Oryctolagus cuniculus: one gene and its partner. The protein of the gene in region 2 interacts with the protein of the main gene of each other region in a pairwise test. Links are inferred from orthologs where the notes say so. Each region holds a gene or a part of one and is shown on either strand. Other genes may lie near its edges.

Region 1 (3,698 bases), on a different chromosome or scaffold from region 2:
CTGGCACCAGGGCACTTCCGTGTTCCCCACTTGGTGTCGGAGAGCTACAGGCCAGAAATGCGGGACCCTGACGGCTGAGGTCCTCTTCAGCACCACCTGCCATTGCCCTTTCTTCATGTTACCTTAAATTCTGTGTATCATTTTTCGTCCCTGATTATGTTTTTCTCGTTTATCAGGTGGCTGGTTATAGCGGTTGGTCTGGTCCGAGCGTACCTGGCTAAGGGGAGCTACCACAGCCTTTATTACTCCATTGAAAAGCCTTTGAAATTCTTCCAAACTGGAGCCTTATTGGAGGTAGGTCCTGAGACTTGTTATTGTTGCTGATTCAATTGTCATAAGGTAAACAACGTGCTACTAAATTATATGGAAGTAGCCATAGCTCTGTTGGATTGGCTTTAAATTTTAATTTTTGTCTCATAGCATATTATAATGACTTTTTTAAAATTTCCAATTAAGGGAAAATTCCATTTGTGTTACTTGGAATATATTTCAGATTCAACTTTTATTGGAAAACAAATGAAGCAAGGCTATAGTGGAATTTAAAAACATTCTAGGGCTGTCCTAGGGAAGTGTTGGTAAACGCAGATCCCTGAGGGGCTACCCAGTGGAGGAAGCACAGCTGATAGCTGTAGGACATTAGGAGTGAGACGTGGGCATCCAAATTATAAAAAAGAATTTGTTTCAACAAGTTCTGTGATTTTCCTTATTAAGGACAATGTATATCTGGTTCTCTCTCCTGGGGTAAGTATAGGGCAGAAACCCAATTCATATGATTTTATGCAAAAGAGGCACACACTCGCTTTGTGGTTGATAAAGATACAGGATGAATTTACAGTGTCCAAGAAGCAGCAAAAGAATGAGAACCCGGGGTTTGATATTGCCACACTCAAACCATGCAGCTCTCCTGCTTCCCTCTGAATGCTGGCCTTGGGCTCTGCTGCCGCAAAGGGCTTTCTCCCTGGGGCAGGAAGCAGGTGCCAAGTCCGTGTCCCTCAGCCCCTAGTGTCACAGGCAGTTCCAGGGAAGGGTTCAGGTTGGCCCTACTTAGACTCTTGCTGATGATGCGAGGTACCTAGTTGCTGAGGCGTGGGGCGCATGTCCCTCTTCTGGCCAGGAGACTCTAGGAGGGGAGGGGTGGCAGTTTGGGGCACCCCTGGCGCCGTGGGGTGGTGATCCTCAGGGTGCAGGAGGGGCTGGGCTGCAGTTTCCCTCCACTTGGCCCTCCCTCATGTTTATACCTCAGGCGCAACTTTTAGAGCCTGAACTATGGAGTCATTGTTAACAAACTGTTTACCTCCATTAAGTAAGATACGACGCCACTACTGCGCACCTTCACTTTCAAAAGCAAAAAGGTATAGTTTGGGGTTTTTTGTTTTCTCTTAGAATGCAGAGGGATTTTCGTGCTGTCGGTCGGCATTTAGGAGGTGGCGTGATGACACCCACTTCCAGCTCAGACTCCGAGTACCCTCATTGCGAGTGTGCTGTTTCTAATCAGCTTACTCTGTGAAGCCACCTTCAGTAGGTTAAAGTTGATGTGCAAAGTCTCCTCCTGACCTAACAGTCTGAGTCTAAGAAATGGCAGCAAATCCTGGTGGAGCCATTTGTTAATCTCAGAGCTTGGCTTTCTTTAGTGGGGGCAGGGTGACTGCTAGCACCTGGTGTCTCAGCGCCTTGGCCGACACAGTTGCCTCGAGCTGCAGAGGAGCCGCTTGGGTCAGACCCTCAGAAGCTGCACAATATTTGTGCCCAGTGGGAACACTTCCATGATTTAAAGGAGATTCTGTCTTTTTACTTTTTAAAAGATTTATTTATTTTTTATTTGAATGGCAGAGATACAGAGAGAAGGAGAGAGAAAGAGAGAGAGAGAGATCATCACTGGTTCACTCCCAAATAGCTGCAATGGCCAGAGCTGGGCTGATCCAAAGCCAGGAGCTTCTTCCAGGACTCCCACATGGGTGCAGGGCCCCAAGCACTTGGGCCATCTTCCACTGCTTTCCCAGGCCATTAGCAGGGAGCTGCATTGGAAGTATAGCACCTGGGACTCGAACCAGTACTCATATGGTATGTCAGCGCCACAGGTGGAGGCCTAGCCTACTAGGCCACAGAACTGGCTTTTTATAAAGTACTCCACCAGCACTGCAGGTGGAGGCTTAACCCACTGTGCCACAGCACCAGCCCCAGGAGACTCTATCCTTTTATGACTTTGTAATGTTGGAAGTATGATTTAAAAAAAAATTAAGTACATCTCAAGGAAGGTAGGGGCATTAAACAGTGGGAGACAAAATCCATTCAGGAAGCAAGTCTTAGACTTTGAGAGATTATACTGTTTTTCCCTATCGGATTTTTAATAGGGATTTAAGAAACTATTTTTGGATTTTTGGTTTTATCTCATCCCTACTAAGAAGCAATTAGGTGACAAATCCTGGATTTGATTTTGGGAAGAGAGCTGTGTATAAGGAAGCGAAGACTCCAGACCCATGCAGGGAATGAGCACAACATGGGTCCATGGCAGCAGGAATCCCTCAGACCGCGGTAGTGCAAGGTTGCTGAAACTGCTTCCTGTGCAGCAGGTCAAGGAGTCTGTCCCCTGCCCACCCCAGCCCCCCAGTGTACATCGGGTCAGAATTAGATACTTGTGGTGGTGTGAATGCATGGTGCCTGACAGTATATCCTGTTTACAGGAGGAGAAAACGAAGGCAGGGCATCAGCTACAGAATTTGCTTAAAAAGAAAGTAGAAATCACTCATATCAAACTTCACATCTTCTTAGGAAAACATAACACTTTGCTTTATAAACGACTGAGAAAGTCTTAAGCAAATGCAAATGGACATGTAGTAGTATAAAACAAGAAGATGCCTACTGTCTGAGGAGACGAAATGAGTTTTTGCAAAATGTGTATGGGTACAAAGATATGTTGAGTTGATGATAAGATCACATGGCTTTTTTTTTTTAAGATTTTATTTATTTGAGAGGCAGAGTTACAGAGAGAGAGAGAGAGAGAGGCAGAGGGAAAGATCTTCCATCTGCTCGTTCACTCCTCAAATGGCTGTAACAGCTGGAGCTGGGCTTATCAGGAGGCAGGAGCTTTTTCTGGGTCTTCCACCTGGGTGCAGGGGCCCAAGCACTTGGGCCATCTTCTACTGCTTTCCCAGGCTATAGCAGAGAGCTGGATCGGAAGTAGAGCAGCTGGGACTCGAACCAGCACCCATATGGGATGTCGGCGCCACAGGTGGAGGCCTAGCCTATTAGGCCACAGCACTAGCTTTTTATAAAATGGTCATAATTCCTGGTATTTTTTTCTCTGCATATTCATCCAAGAATGTGTTGAGTATTTTTGATAGTTAATTTTCCAAGTTATCCCACAGGTAATATTTTAAATAAGTATAGAGGTACTTCAAAATGTTCTGGCTTTCAGTTTTGTTTTACCAAACAAACTTAGCTTAAATTCCATTTTCCATGAACTTTTTGAAGTTCCCACATACATATTTGGCTAACGAAGGGTGCTGTGGAGGTTGAGCCATTGCTGACAGGGAGTGGGAGAGCTCCCTGGCTGGATGATTACATTAGAGCTGTTGACCAGAGATGGCAGAAGCCTCAACTAACTTACCCATCAAGAAGGCTGTAAAGAAGCATATAGGACTTCCCGTGGAGTACAGGAATGGCCTTGAACCTGGACTGGAGGACCACAGGGGGCTCAG
Region 2 (4,403 bases):
TTCCGGGCAGAGTACAGCCTGTGCAAAGGCCCTGGGGCTCGCTCATTTGCTCACCTCTGCCCGAGCCAGGGCTTGGAGAGCAGCAGGTCCTGTCTGTCTGTCTGTGTGTCTTTCCTGCCGCGGCCAGCAGTGTCTTCACGGCACAGTGGGCGGAGTGGGCCCTGCTCCTCAGCGGGGGCTCTGGGCCCCTCATATGGGGTGGGCTTCAGCCCCGCCAGGCCACGCCCTGACCCTGTGCCCCCACCAGTGGCTGCTGGCTGGGCCCTGGAATTTCGGGCCTTTGGGTGAGAATTCCTTGCAGGCTGGTGGCGCTGTCACCGCAGAGCCGCGCCAGGCCCCTGCCCTCGCCCTTGTCCCGCGCCTGTGGGGCCACACCCCTGCCTGTGGCCCCCCTTCACCTGCCGGCCACAGCCCCTTCCCCCTGCCCTCGCTGTGATTTGCCCCTCCCCCCACAGGTCTGGGGCCTGCGTGTGCAGCAGTGGGGGGCCCCAGGGTCGGGAAGGCCCGGGCCGGGGGTCTCTCCTAGGAGGCCCTGGGACCTTGGCATTCTCTGTGATGGCTTCCTGGGGCCTGGGGCACTGCTGCTGCCCTGGCAGAGCCCCGGCCGGCGGCGCGTGCGTGGCCGGCACCTGCCAGTGCCCACCCCAGGCGCCCCCTATGCCTCTGCCGCCTCCCACGTGGCCCAGCGCAGACTTGACTTTCCTGCTCTAGTTTGAAAGGACAGAAGCACCAGAAACAGGGCCACACGGGGTCCTAGGTGCCCCCCGCCCCTTCTCCTGCTGGGGCCCTGGCCCGGGGGGCACCTCCCATCCCTCTGGCCCCTGGGGTGCTTACCCCTCGGCTGGCCTGGACGCTCCTGCTGCCGCGGCGGTGTGCGCGGCCCCTCTCCCAGCTGCCCTGAGTCCTGCCCCGACGGCCGGGCCCTGGTTCTGCGCCCGGAGCCAGGGCGAGAGGCTTAGGTTTCAGCCCGCCCTGCAGCAGCTGGCCAGGGCAGCCAGAGGGGCTGGTTGTATTTTAAGCTATTGAGTGGTTCAGCAGGAACTCGGAGCCTCCCGGCTCCGTGGACGTGTGCTGCCTTCCCGCGGCGGGGCGGCCAGGGCTCTGAAGGTATGTGTGGGCACTGCCCGCCCCGGGGCCGGGCAGCTATTAATACCACTGTGCCCGCTCTGCGTGCCCCCGCCCTTCCCCACACCCTGGTGTGGGCCTCATGCTCCAACATGGCCACCAGGGCAGGGCAGGACCCAGGGTGGGCCACAGGGGCTCAGCAGGCCTGGGAGCGGCGCACCCACACGTGGAGTGCACAAATCAGTCTCTCTTGGGGCCCCGAGACTGCCCCTTTCTGACAACTGGGGTGGTGGGCCTAGTCCCTGGGGCTCCCTCCCTTCCGGCTCGGGGTCTGGGGAGAATAGAACCTGGGTGAGGGCGTGGTGTTGGACGTTGGGCTGGGTTCAGTGGGACGTGTGCCCTGGATTGAAGGTGGCCTTGAATGAGGTCCCTGGGGAGCAGTGTGGGGGAGGTGGGAGGGTGGGCAGAGGAAGAGAGAGCTGGGGAGCAGAGCCGAAGGCTGAGGCTGTGCCAGCCTGGGGGGGGGGGGCGCTTGCCTGAGCGGCCCTGCTCCTGTGCACAGTGACCCCGGAATCTGTCACCTCCTTGGGAACACGGATGCACAAGGAGAATAATCCCGAATGTCCCTTTGCAACTCAGAAGGGGAAATGCATGAGCCGTCTCATGGATTCTCAAAATAGCTGGAGAGTCTCCAGGCCCAGTGACTGCTCTGGGCCCAAGCTGGGAGCTGGGAGCTGGGAGTGGGGTGCGGGGTGCGGGGGCCTGAGCCGGCTTCACCCTCCTCCTCTGGCCTCTGGCGAGCCCCAGACCCCCCAGCCCTGGGTCTCCTTGTGCACTTGGAAGCCTGTCTGGGGCTCGCAGCGACCCCGGGGTCTGGGGCTTGGCTCCTGGGGGGCTCCCTGGGGCGGTTTTATATTTAGCTGGGCCACACTCTGGTACCACTCGGATTACATCTGGCACAGAGGCCGGCAGTGCTGGGCCGGGGCCGGGGCCGGGGCCTGGCGCGGGCTCCCTTCCAGCACCGCGGCAGAATTTGATCACGCCTGGCCAGGCCCGGCCCAGAGCGGCTGAGCGTGGGGAGGGCGGTGGTGGGGGCTGACGGCCGGCAGCTGGGGCCACTGGCCTGGGCGTGCAGAGCAGGACAGCAGGGCCGTGTGTGGTGGGTGGCATGGACCTCAGCCTGAGCCTGGTGACCCGGGAGCCCAGCCCGAGCCTGGGCCCCAGCCTCAACGGCTTCCCCAGGCCTGCGCCCCCCAAGACGGCCAAGAAACCTAAAAAGGCCGTTCTCTTCTTTGAGGTGGAGATCCTGGACGCCAAGACCAGGGAGAAGCTGTGTTTCCTGGACAAGGTAGGCCGCACCAGCTGCGCCGGCCAAGGGCACAAGGCCTGGGACCTGCTCCGGGGGCGCTGTCCAGCCCTCCTGCTCGTGCCCCACCCCCTGCCCTCCCGAGGGCCCACGAGTGGCGCTGTCCCCACCTGGGGTACGGTGGGCAGCTGTGGCTTCGGGCCTGGGAAGGAGGTGGAGCCTGGGGGGAAGGGGCTGGGAGCCGGGGGGGGGGGGGTGGAGAGGAGACAGAGCCGCCCCCTGGCTTCCCAGCGAGGACCCACAGCTGTCCCCGCCCTGGCAGGCCCCCAGCCCAGCCCCGCCTGGTCTCCAGGCTCTGCTCCCCCAAAGCTGACTCGGTGCGGTGCCTCCGCAGGTGGAGCCCCAGGCTACCATCGCAGAAATCAAGAACCTCTTCACCAAGACCCGTGAGTCAGGGCCCCGCGGTGCTCCCCCGGCGGCCCAGGGAGGCCGGGCTCCGACGCCAAGCTCCTGCGCTGGGCACTCCTTGGCCTGAGGCCAGGCCCCGCAGGCCGCGTCTGAGCTGGCTGTCCCCCTCCCTCCCGCAGACCCGCAGTGGTACCCCGCCCGCCAGTCCCTCCGCCTGGACCCCAGTGAGTACAGCTGTCGCGGGCTTGGGGGGCGGGGGGAGCCGGCCTGGGCCGCCCCTGAGCCCCGGCCGCCCTCCCCCTCCCCGCAGAGGGCAAGTCCCTGAAGGACGAGGACGTGCTGCAGAAGCTGCCCGTGGGCACCACGGCCACGCTGTACTTCCGCGACCTGGGCGCGCAGATCAGCTGGGTGACGGTGAGTGTGCGCCGCGGCCCCGCCCTCCGCCGGGGGGGGGGGGGTGTGCGGGGCGGGGCCACTCACGCGCCGATGCCCGCAGGTCTTCCTGACGGAGTACGCGGGGCCGCTCTTCATCTACCTGCTCTTCTACTTCCGCGTGCCCTTCATCTATGGCCACAAATACGACTTCACGTCCAGCCGGCACACGGTGGTGCAGTGAGTGGGGGCGGGGCGGGGCGCGGCGGGGTGGGGCGGGGCACGGCGGGGGCGCCAGCCGCGCTGAGCCGGCTCCCCCCGCAGCCTCGCCTGCATCTGCCACTCATTCCACTACATCAAGCGCCTGCTGGAGACGCTCTTCGTGCACCGCTTCTCGCACGGCACCATGCCGCTGCGCAACATCTTCAAGGTGGGAGCCCCGCCCGCGTCCGCCCGCCCGCGCCCCCCGGCCCCGCCCCTGGCCCAACCCTGCGCGCTGCCTTGCAGAACTGCACCTACTACTGGGGCTTCGCTGCGTGGATGGCCTACTACATCAACCACCCCCTCTACACGCCACCCAGTAAGTGCCCCGGGCCCGTCCCCGCGCCCCAGCCCCTCCCCCTGGGCTCCCCTCACGACCACCCCACCCTGCTTCCCTGCAGCCTACGGAGCTCAGCAGATCAAGCTGGCGCTCGCCATCTTCGTGGTAAGGAGGCTGGGGGCGGGTGGTGGGTGGTGGGTGGCGGCGGGGGCTGGGGCGCTCGGCCGACCCTGCTGCTCCTGACAGATGTGCCAGCTCGGCAACTTCTCCATCCACATGGCCCTGCGGGACCTGCGGCCGGCCGGTGAGTGGCGGGCGGGGGCGGGGCCGGGCCCGCTCCCCTGAGCCCGGGGGCGGGGTCCGAGTCGCCCTTCCATCCTGCCGCCAGGGTCCAAGACCAGGAAGATCCCGTACCCCACCAAGAACCCCTTCACGTGGCTCTTCCTGCTGGTGTCCTGTCCCAACTACACCTACGAGGTGAGCCCCCCGCCCCGGCTCCCACGCAGCGCAGCGCAGCGGGCGGGGGCTTGGCGGGATCTGGGGACGGGGACCGCGGCCCGCCCTCAGCCGCCATCTCTGCGCAGGTCGGCTCCTGGATCGGCTTCGCCATCATGACCCAGTGTCTCCCAGGTGAGGCCTCGGCCGGCGCCCGGCGGGGAGCCCCCCCCCCCCCCCACGGCCGGGCGGCCCCTGACAGCCCGCTCTGCCCCA

The links. The genes of interacting proteins can lie anywhere in the genome.
Region 1: the proteins of TECR (region 2) and HACD2 interact in binary tests that used the Homo sapiens proteins (3 or more experiments, as listed by UniProt). The link is inferred for Oryctolagus cuniculus from reciprocal best matches to the Homo sapiens genes TECR and HACD2.

Annotation. Positions count from the first base shown.
Region 1 is NC_091435.1:79,737,179-79,740,876, reverse strand, and holds part of HACD2 (very-long-chain (3R)-3-hydroxyacyl-CoA dehydratase 2), read left to right. Parts: intron 1-176; coding exon 177-294; intron 295-3,698. UniProt on the Homo sapiens protein: Catalyzes the third of the very long-chain fatty acids (VLCFA) elongation four-step cycle (condensation, reduction, dehydration, and reduction).
Region 2 is NC_091447.1:63,163,652-63,168,054, forward strand, and holds the start of TECR (very-long-chain enoyl-CoA reductase), read left to right. Parts: upstream 1-1,586; 5' UTR 1,587-2,233; coding exon 2,234-2,413; intron 2,414-2,765; coding exon 2,766-2,817; intron 2,818-2,958; coding exon 2,959-3,003; intron 3,004-3,089; coding exon 3,090-3,193; intron 3,194-3,275; coding exon 3,276-3,391; intron 3,392-3,475; coding exon 3,476-3,581; intron 3,582-3,658; coding exon 3,659-3,731; intron 3,732-3,813; coding exon 3,814-3,857; intron 3,858-3,938; coding exon 3,939-3,996; intron 3,997-4,080; coding exon 4,081-4,169; intron 4,170-4,276; coding exon 4,277-4,322; intron 4,323-4,403. UniProt on the Homo sapiens protein: Involved in both the production of very long-chain fatty acids for sphingolipid synthesis and the degradation of the sphingosine moiety in sphingolipids through the sphingosine 1-phosphate metabolic pathway.